2 linked regions of the Caenorhabditis elegans genome follow. The protein of the gene in region 1 interacts with the protein of each later gene in a pairwise test. Each region holds a gene or a part of one and is shown on either strand. Other genes may lie near its edges. The genes, in order: ssr-2 and C52A11.3.

What was found.
Region 2: the proteins of ssr-2 (region 1) and C52A11.3 interact in a two-hybrid assay, tested with the Caenorhabditis elegans proteins (one large-scale study listed by BioGRID).

What each region holds. Positions count from the first base shown.
Region 1 is NC_003284.9:2,822,760-2,829,690, forward strand, and holds ssr-2 (Sperm-Specific family, class R), read right to left. Parts: upstream 4,994-6,931; coding exon 4,967-4,993; intron 4,071-4,966; coding exon 3,906-4,070; intron 2,972-3,905; coding exon 2,843-2,971; intron 2,710-2,842; coding exon 2,611-2,709; intron 2,558-2,610; coding exon 2,417-2,557; intron 2,349-2,416; coding exon 2,220-2,348; intron 1,257-2,219; coding exon 1,119-1,256; intron 1,046-1,118; coding exon 960-1,045; intron 914-959; coding exon 820-913; 3' UTR 742-819; downstream 1-741.
Region 2 is NC_003280.10:10,735,429-10,739,195, reverse strand, and holds C52A11.3 (PDZ domain-containing protein C52A11.3), read right to left. Parts: upstream 1,838-3,767; 5' UTR 1,795-1,837; coding exon 1,768-1,794; intron 1,613-1,767; coding exon 1,472-1,612; intron 1,428-1,471; coding exon 1,281-1,427; intron 1,112-1,280; coding exon 1,031-1,111; 3' UTR 568-1,030; downstream 1-567.

The sequences.
Region 1 (6,931 bases):
GATAAAAACTGCTAATCAAACCGAGATAATATCACTCAAAGTGGAGCAATGAAACACGTCACCAAAAAAATTTTTACGGTATTCAATTTACCGAAATATAAAAATTTAGGTGCAATCATTTTCCTACCCCATCATTTTTTTAGAATGCTCAAATAATGATTAATTTAAATTTAATTTACACGCGAATGTTCATTTTGATACGTGTTTCATTTTTCGGCTCAGAAAACAACATTATTAAGCCGGAAAATACAGAAAAAGGTCACGTTTTTATCAATGTAAATGTTCTAAAAAGAGGGATGGAGTAGAAAAAGAAATGCACCTAAATTTGTGATGTAGAAAATTGGTTTTAATAGTAATGCAATATTTCCCATACTTTCTACTTTCTGTGTGTATCTAAAATTCTAGTAGTAAACAGTTGAAGACAAATTTCGCACATCACCCTTAATTAGTTTTTTGCAAACCGTTTTATTTCGCCCTACGAGTAAACTGCAAAATTTTCTTACTCTGATAATTTTTTTCAATTTTTGTTCTTTCACCCCCTTTTCCTCCCTTAACCTAATCCTTTTTTGACAATTTGAAATTGAATGAGTTTTTGCACAATTTTTTAATATGTAACAGACGCAACTGATTAATGTCAAGAAATTTTCAAATCATTTTTTTTTCTCATTCAACATGTTCATATATATATATATTTTTTTTTCTTCTCCTATCTCATGAGTTTCATCGCCAAAATAAAGTTAATCCAAATACAATTTTACTTCCCAGAAAGATATATAATTAAATACAGTGATAAATCGTTGGTTACAAAAAAATAATAATTTATTGAATTTTGCAATCACTCTCGTCGACGATTTCCTCGTGATTTGACTTTTCTCCATGACGACGCATTTTCAAAGATAGATGTTTTGTTCTCCTGAAAAAATGACACTTTTTCATTGCTTTTAAATTCTCTTTCAAACCGGATAAGACTGGAGCTGCGTGAAATTTTAGGCTCATCCGACAGCTTCCTCTCGACTTGTTCTTTGTCCCTACGCGGTGACTTCATCTGAATAAAAACGTCATCACATGTATGGGAATAGAGAGAAATTATGTTTTGTTACATAGGGATTGATACATACTCTTAAAGAAAGGTTTCTTTTCAAATCGCCAATGTGCAGCGGGACTGCAAGAACGGGGTGAGAAGCCTGCTTATCAAGTTGAGGTTGCTCACGAGCAGATTGTGAGCCGTTTTTTGTAGAAGCTGTGTTTTTCTCATCCTGAAATGCAAACGTATAAGAGTATAGTACTTCAAAAAATGGTACATCACATCCGGCTAACTTTCTGAAAAAGGAATCAAAGTTTGTTGGATTTTACTGAAGGTGGAGTAGAGTCCAAAACTTTTTTTGGTTTTAAATGACAGAAATGGAACCGTAGTGACTATAAAAAATTATAAAACTTTGCTAATTTTCTAATATATTTTGTTTTATTTTGAACAGAAGAAATTGGCTAATTATTTATGAAATCACGCGCAAATTAGTGACGACATTTTTGTCATTTTTTTGCTTTCCAGCTATAATGATTGGGGTTTCTCTGCTTATTTTATTGAATATTTGATGTGACACACAGTTTCCCAATTTTGAAAACATTTTTTGGAAAATGAAAGTTGTTAACCAGAAAGAAATTCATGTATCAAAAACACAGAAAATGTATAAAATGACGTCACTAATTTGCTGGTGAATTTTATATAATGAGCATAATTTTGCAAACTTGAGAAATCATTAAAAACTGAAAATAATTTTATAAATTCATTATTTTTTATTTTCGGGGATTACGGTTTTCTAATATTCACAGCAAAATTGTCAAGTAAAAATTCAAAATCTGCTTTATTCAAAAACTTTTTTAGTAGCCGTACCATATAAATGCTTAACCAATTTACCAACAAATTCAAAAAAAAAACTTTTTTTGATCAACTCAGAAGTATTTTTATCAATATTCAAAAAAGCAATTTTTTTACAAATAATTTTTTTTTTCAAGAGGAGATTTTTTATTTTTGAAACGTCGTAACTTAGCTGAACTAGCATGCATTCCCGCATTAGAAAAAATCGATATGCCACTAAAAGAAATTATAATTTTTTTTTTCACCCAGGACTTATCCCCCCAACAAGTAGCATTACAGCATTACAATTTCAATTTAAACTTTTGAACTTTTCTGGGAAATTATACAACTCAGCTGCTTGTACCTCCATCAATGTTTTCCTCGGGTCCCGCCTAGTCGTCGACTTCGCCCGCACCGTTGCCGATCTACGGATCGATGGGCTGCTCCTGGTCTCTTCGTCCTCGGCCACATCATCGAGACGACCACCACCCGCCTGAATAACTCACACTATTCTCATATTCTATCAAGATAGATTGTGTGCGTACGCACACACACACTCACTTTGCATCGTGGGAAACCGGATAATTCGAGCAGTGTGCGGAATACGTCGGTAATCCGGATATTGTCTTTGGCCGACACCTCGATATAACGAACGTCGGACGATAAGCGATTTGTGAATGCTTTCGCCGTTTCTTCGTATATCTTTAAATGGGTACCAGAAAAAAATCTCAAAAGAAAATTCAGAAATTTTTTACCTTCTTATTTTCAACATCGCATTTGTTTCCCACAACAACAATCGGCAGCTCATTCAAATCACTACGCCTTGAGCATATTTCTTGCCATATATCCGACATCTGAAAATGATATGAAATCTTGTCGCATTAGTAGCTGCTCATCTATCCTTCGCACATGTGTGAAGACTTAGTCTATTTTTGCTCAAAACTCGCTGCTAATTCGGAAATGTGGGTTACGGTATCGTTAACTTGCCTCCTTGAAGCTTGTGACGTCGTCCACCGAGAAAACTAGAAGAAAGGCCGACGCTGATGCAATCGAAAGACGTCTCATGTCGGGAAAATTGAAGTTGGTATCCAAAATGTCTAGTGGTAATGGGACACCCTGAAACATTAATGTGAATCAACTTTCCATTTGTTCTTTGGAAGTTTAAAGGGAGGGGGGAAGGGTAGAGAGAAAAAGACCGAAAGCGACCGAATTTCGTAATGAAACTTCTCAAAAAACTTCCAATTTTTCATGGCGGCCAAATTTTTCTAAAATCTGAAACTCCGCCAGCTTTTCTTTGTCGCTTTTTGAAATTTTGATAATTTTATATGCCTACACGATATCAACTACCAGAGTATGCTTTTTATAGTTTGATAATTTCAAAAATCATTTACTATATATAAAGCGCTTATTCCGTTTGTCCATAGTTTGTAGTCTTTGTAGTCTTTGTAGTCTGTGAAGTTTTGGCTTCTGGAGGGATAGTGAGTTGGGGTTAGTGTAGGGATATAGTCGGGGTACTGTAGTGGTACAATGGTGGTACGGTAGGAGTACTGTATGATTACGGTAGTTTCAGAAAATATGGTTTTCAGCTCCAGAAGTCGGGGGCCGCGCCGGAGTTGCGGTCCACGGCTGGTAAACTATATTCCAGCAAAGAAAAATTGCGAAATTTCAGAATTTGAAAAAATCTGACTACGTTTCTTAGAATTTGTTTTGAAAATTTGACCCCTCATTAAAAACGTTTGGAAATTATTTTCATTATGAAATTCGGCCGTGCTGGGCCAGTTTCACCCTATTTAAGCAAAATATCCACAAATTCTACTTCCCCCAGGCCTTCCACGCGGGTACCAAAATGCCTTCCTTGCGGCGACCTCCGCTCGCCTCGCGCTTTCTGTATAGTGCGTCGAGTAACCCGAAAAGTGTCGGCCGCGGCAAAAGCTGAAATAAGGCGAGAGGGCGGCGTGAGGCGGGCAGGTTGGAGGCAGGTGTTAGGCCCTGGAAGCTTGCCTGCCTCCTATGGAAGCCCTGACCCAAAGATTTGAATGAAAGAACCAACCTGGATACGAAACTCTCTCGAATGTAAATCCTCAATCGTTTCCTTATACTTGCTTGAAAATTCATTATATAAGTAGCGACGAATAATATTAGTTTTTCCCACTTTCGCAGAACCCAGCACCACCAGACGGTACCGTTCTTCGCACATTTCGTCCTCGGTTTTGGGCTGCAAGCATTTGAACATATTGACAGGGAAGCACACAATATAAGATTTGAAAATGGATAGTTGGAATATTGGGAAGAGAATCGGAGTTTTGGCAATAAATGTTCTTGGCCTTGTTTGCTATTTTAATGGTTCATGTACCTTCTCCATAGCAATTTATGCCTGGTGGCTAGGATATTAAGTCATGAAACGAATTCTCCTTTCCAAATAAAATGAGAGACAATGTAAGATTTTAAGTGCTCGTATAAATACAAGTCGTTTGTAATTTAAAACTCTCAAAGTTTGAAAGTTAAGAGGGGGGGGGGGGGGGGTAGAGAAAGGTTTTGAATGAATACAGAGATCTAACTAGTGTTTGTAGGATCACTTGTTAATTTCATCCACGAGTCCTTCCGTTTAGTCCTTTTTTCAAACTTTCAATTTCTGTTTACTGCAGTATGGAGGTAGGTTGGTATGGTGTTAAATGTGGAGTAGGGCCAGTGGGGAAAGTGTTCAAAACTACATCAATAGTGCCAAAATGACATATTTATAATTTTGAAAGTCGGTCAAAAAAAAACATGTACTCCTAATTTTGAAAGTCGGTCAAAAATTAAATTCTGCGAATTTCATACTTTACTTTTGTTTTAATTATACATCAAGAAGTTCCAGTAGTCAAAATTTTTTCAAAAAATTGGCAAATTGCCAAAAAATTGACTGGGAGTAAAAAAAATCTCTACAAAAAATTCTACAAAAAAAATTTCATTTTCAGACGGAACAAACCATTTTTTGCATTTCTATATCAATTTTTGTATGGAAAAAGTTTTTTAAAAAGCGGCACAGCACTGGTGTAGACCTCTCTTTTTTTCCTATTTTTTGGTTTTTCTCACGCCTTATGTTTTTTCTTCCTGATCTGGTAAACCTACAATTGTTGATGGAAGCGTTGAAGTCATCGCGGTGCACAATAAGGACCAGAAGAAAAGAAAAATACCGACGGACAGAATATGAGTTGCAGGTTTGGCTGGTCTGCACAGCCGATTGAACAAGGGTTGCGTCACTTGTTTTGTTGGGAGAAGCCGCGGACGGAAAACGTGACTTCTCCTTTCTCGCTTTTTTTTTCTTTCTCGGAAGATACTAACTGATAGAAAGAGAATATGAAGATGAATATGAGTCTTGAGAGGGAGTATAAGAGAGAAAACACCCCCCCCCCTTCTCTCCGGAATTATATCTTTTTATCCTCGTCTTTCTTCCTTTCTCACTTCTCCTTGGGTCTAGATCAGGAGAAATGAGGAGAGCAGTTACTGGTTGACGGATTAGAGCCTCGTAATCTACATATTACATTGGTATAAGCTCTCTGACATGCAGAGCACACACTCAACATCTTACTTCCAAAAAAGCCTACAGTAAACTAGGCCCCAGAAAATAGTTGATAGTTAAGGAAGGAATTAACAAACGTGAGCAGTAAAAACCAAACATAATGAAACTGAGTGCCAATGGATGAGCAAGGTGCAGAGGCATTGTGTCTTTCTATGTGTGTGTGTGTGTGAATAACCAACCCAGAAGCACTCTCTGGAAATTGATGCTCCGTGAATAATAGGAAAACTACTATTCAAATATTTTCCCTGAATAATAGAGTTGTACTACGAAAAGAAGTCTTATTGCAGTTCTCGTTATTTTGGAAATAAAAAAAACAATAGCCTCACTAAACAGTAAAAATGTTAAGAAAAGTTTGGTTTCAAAATCTGATAATTTGGAAAGTATATGTATAAAAACGGGGAAATGTTAGAATAATTAAAGGAGAGAATTTTAAACGTGAAGAATTCTCAAATGACCATCTAATGAAACTTCTCAAAAATATTTGTTAAAGAAATTATCGCGATTTTAGCAAAACATTTTTAATTTCCGCCACTTTTGCAGCGGTCCGAAAGTGACTTTTTTTTTGAATTATCATAATTTGTTGCATCAGGAACAGAAGTCAAAATTGGGAATTTTTGCAAAAAATTTCAAAATTTTTGATAACTTTTGCCAATAACCAAAATATTTGAGATGAAGCGGCTGATTTAATTTTGAATTTAAAAAGGCAAAAACTGGGCAAAATTGTCGGGATTTGTTTTTTTTTCTAATTTTTCATTGATATTTGAATTGAAAAATCATTCGTTCAATTTTTAAATTTTTACCGTAAAACAATTTTTCTTTTTTTTTCATTTTTTTCCCAAAAAAAAAACAAAAAAAATTAAAAATGCCTACACTTCCAAAATTCCGAGTAGCAATCAATTTTATCGAGAAACACACATTTCCAGAACTGACTTTGATTTTCAGAATTCTCTTAATTCTAAATCAAAACGAGAAACAAAAGAAAATAATTAGTTTCAGATTCACAAAAATTTTCTTAGTTCCGATTGAAAGATTAGATTCTTGTTAGCAAAAATTTACAAATAAAATCAGGGACGCAAAATTTTTAAGTTATAAGAAATTAAAATTTGTGAAGCCTACCTAAAAATGCTCAAAATTTAAAAAATAATTTTTAAAAAATTCCAGCTAAATGAGTACCTGCAATTATTAACAAATCAAAAAAAAAAGCTTAATGAGAAGGGAACTCCTCTGCGCATTTTTTTTTTGGTTCGAAGTCGACAAAAACTAGCAATGGATAGATTAGGACTTGATGAGCATTGAAGCAAAAAGAGCACTCTCGCAGCAACAGAGCAAGCAATTCGTCCCCTGTTTGACACCATTAACTTGAAAATTGTTAGTAGGAATCTAGATGAGATGACTTGATGGCATTGTTTTTTTAAAGGAGGGGACATAGTTTGTGGGGTTTTTGCTTAAATATACTAAAACTGGTCCAAAACAACCAAATTTCAAAATAATACTTCTCTAAAAAAAATGCCAAA
Region 2 (3,767 bases), on another chromosome or scaffold:
AAACACTCAATTCGTTTCGATTTCCGGGTTTTACACTCTTTCCCTTCATATTCGTCGTTCATTTTCTGACGAACTTCTAATAATATTCTAGCATTCCTACCTTCAAAAGTGCTCAATGTTATTCGTACCGCTTCCCCCTTAAAATTATTTCCTTGTTTTTTTCTTGATTCGAATCCTCTCCCCCAACTTTCAACACAACTCAGGTTTCCATATTTTTTTCTTAATTTTTTTTGAATTTTTTTTTTTGAAATATAGGCGAGCAATTTTATGCATTTTGTAGGCAGTCAATTATGTCTCGCCTCTTCTGTCAAACTCTGCAGGGTACTTTTTTGAAATGTTTTTCTTTTTGAAGTTTTACCGTTTTTTTTTTTGAAAACTATTCAATTCGTTCCAAACATGCTGAATATCTAGTCGTTTTACACCCATTTGCAAAGTATGCGGTGATATTATTTCCTTAAGTTTAGTGTTCTATCTTTTAGTCCTTATTTTGGATCTTTCATTGTTTTATTTTTGGATAATTTCCCACGCATGAATAGTATATAATAAACTGTTTTTCTTGTGTTTATTGTTTTTTTTTAATATTTCATAAATATTCCAATTAGTCGAGTAACCTCCCACCAGGAAGTTCAATAATTTTTTAAGATCGTTACAATAAAACTGTTGAGGTTAGTCAGGAAAAAAAATGTTATAGCGTGTGTGAGGAGGTGAAATTGCTAGCAAAATAGATTTTTTGACGGATAAAATCTACAACAGTAAGTAAGTGCATTCCGTTACAATGCGAGATTTGAATTTTGGTACAGATAAAGGGTTCGTTGGGGAAATAATTATTGTATCTTATCAATTTCTTGCAGCAAACTTCAACAAATTTTAGAAACTTTGGTAATGCCAAAAAAAGTTGATGAGGTTGGTTGAGGCTTTTTGCTGAAATTAGCCTTTTGGAAAATAATTTTTGGGAAGAAATATACGATTTCAAATAATTAGAAGATAAAAAGAAACTGTTCGTAGCGCAATAATTAAAATATAGGGACCATTATTTATGTACCTTGTGAGGACGGGCGATTTGAAGATACAGTCGTTGACCAGATGCTTTGACCGATTTCACCACCGAGCGCTGAAGTAAGTGACAAATATAGATATCGGATATCTAAATGTTTGTTATAAATATAAACTAGTTAGTCTTGCTCGCATCTTGCACAAATTTCCCCCTTAGAAAATTTTTTCAATTTCAGTCAGTTTTTGGATAATTTTATTGTGTCTCCTATTTGTTGTATCATTCTTACCTGATCCAAAATTGGACGTCCATTGACCGCCAAAATACGATCTCCAACTTTCAATTTCTCAGCGGCAACCGATCCAGGTACTACAGTGGTTATGAGGATTCCACGATCTCTTACCCCGACTCCCATTCCGATTTTCCGATTGGCATCCTGAGAAAAATCTATGAAAGTATAATGGAAGTGTTGATGAAAACCTTCTGAAGCTTGACAAGTAATGTATCACAACCCTCTTCTTTCAAATCGGAAATGATTCCGACAGCGAGTGAACTGTACTCATAACTGCTCAATGTGATAGTTGATGGTGGACTAGGTGGTTGTCTTCGGTGAATTTTTATCTGTAGTATTATTAAATATGTTTCATAAGCTCTTTAGGATGTTTTATATGTTTTATACTTGAAAATTGTTTCAAAAATTGTCAAGCAAAGGGGCAGTATTTTTGAATAATAATCCTAATGTTCAATAATTATTTTTCCACAAAACGATTAATTACCGGAAAGCAGCAAGTGATTCGTCGCATTGTTCTGGAATCCGTAGAAAGTTATGGTCCAAACTGATAGTAAAAATCTTTCATCAGAAAATGATTACTCTCAACTTTATATTTATACCTTCCCGGCTCAAACTTTACCTCTCCAATTAACATTATATTTCATTGTTTTTGAATAAATCATATTTACCCTCTGATCATTTTCATGAGATCATAGGGTAACGCGTGATATATTGAACATTTATATAATTATGAATCACAATAGTCATCACTTTAGGGACTTTTTTGTTGCTAACAATCTCAAATAAATTATTTAGTATGATCAGAGAAGGGGTTTCCAAACTGAGATGAGTAAGAATGACGTTAAAAAACTTGCATGCCTACAGTCTAGAAGTTCTTAATTTTTTTTACTTGTTCTAAATCAACTTGAAAGTTCTCACAATCAGTAAATAATTGCAAATATATATTTAAAATTAGTGAAATATAATCTAAGAAAATGTCAGCTGCTACCAAAATTCTGTTCTAACCAGATTTTCGCAAATATTATCTGTCAAACGTTAAAAATAAAAACAAAAAGTTAAAATTTTCTTCCATATAAAATTTGTTAATTTTGTAGTTCCGACTGGTTTGTGCCTTATATCTTACCTTGTGCGGAGTTTGAAAAATCATTTCCGCTCCTTTTTTTAAAGTTTTAATAATTTCGAGGTTAACATGCGTAAAAATATGTCTCATTTCAAAAAAGAAGATCAGACAAGCTAACATTGTTTGAAACTAGATGTGTCATGGAAAAAAAATCATTCAGAATTTTTATTCGGCAAAAAATCGAATTTTTCACAAAATATAAATTTGACTCCTTTTTAAAAAATGTATGATAATTTTGAAAGTTGCCAAAATTCAAAAAAAAATTGCACATAGCTGAATTTTAACCCTTTTTTTCTAGCTTTTTCTTGTACCTAAGTTCGGTTTTTGGGAAATTGATCTGAAGATTTTCTGACGCACCACACTTTTTTTAAAGTCTTTTTCTAAAAAATTTCAATTATTTTTCTCATTTTCAATTCGCTCTTTAAATGTTGTTATTCCTTCCCAGGAAAAAATTGGACTGTCATGTTTTGTACGAAAATTCCCTGACTTGAATACTTTAGATTTTTATTTTTGTATTTGTATTTAATCTGGAATATTCCTTTTTCACGAGCACTTGATTTCAAAATTGTATTTCTATTGCTTTCAGAATGTACATAATTCTACAAAACTTCTCATTGTAGCGTGTAAACAGATCCTGTTTTCCCCCGTTAATTTAAGACAGAACAATTCTTCGAACAATTTTTTCTGAATCCCTTTCCTCTTTCTATTCCCTTCTACTACCTTTTCTTCGAATTCTCACTCCATTTGAGCCACGAATCGTTGTCAAGGAGACTCTGTGTTGTCAGAAGCAGAAGACACCGAAAGAAACGAGCCTCCGTGTGAATGTAATTCAGGTTTTGGATTTCCGAAAAACGAAGAATGTGAATTAACTTTTTTCGTACGGCATTTTCTATTTCCATCTTTCCTCTTTTTTCAAAAAATCACCTGTTCCTCTGCCCACATCAAACTCACATACTTCTGTCATCTTGCTCTCTTTTAGCCAAACTTGTTTGAAATTGAATCGGCGAAAATGCCAATTGATAAGTATAAATTAAGTTTGAATAAAGTATAAACTGGGGTTCTGGTAGAGCAATTATATTTGTCATAATTCAGATAGGATGGTTTTAGAAAAATCGGTTCTCCCAGACCAGGTCTGGTTAGCGCAAAAGTCACGAATTTTCATTTCAAATAAGTAGAAAATATCCTGTAAATAATTTCTTAAAAGTTTCCCAGTTACTATCAGAAAGAATGTGGATGAGTAATGTCATAAACTTACAAAAGTGATGCCGACTCGGGTTTATCTCAATATTTGGTTGCAACTACTTTTGCAACTTCTTACCAAAATTTATCGTCTAAAAGCTTCTGACAGTTTTATACAGTACCCT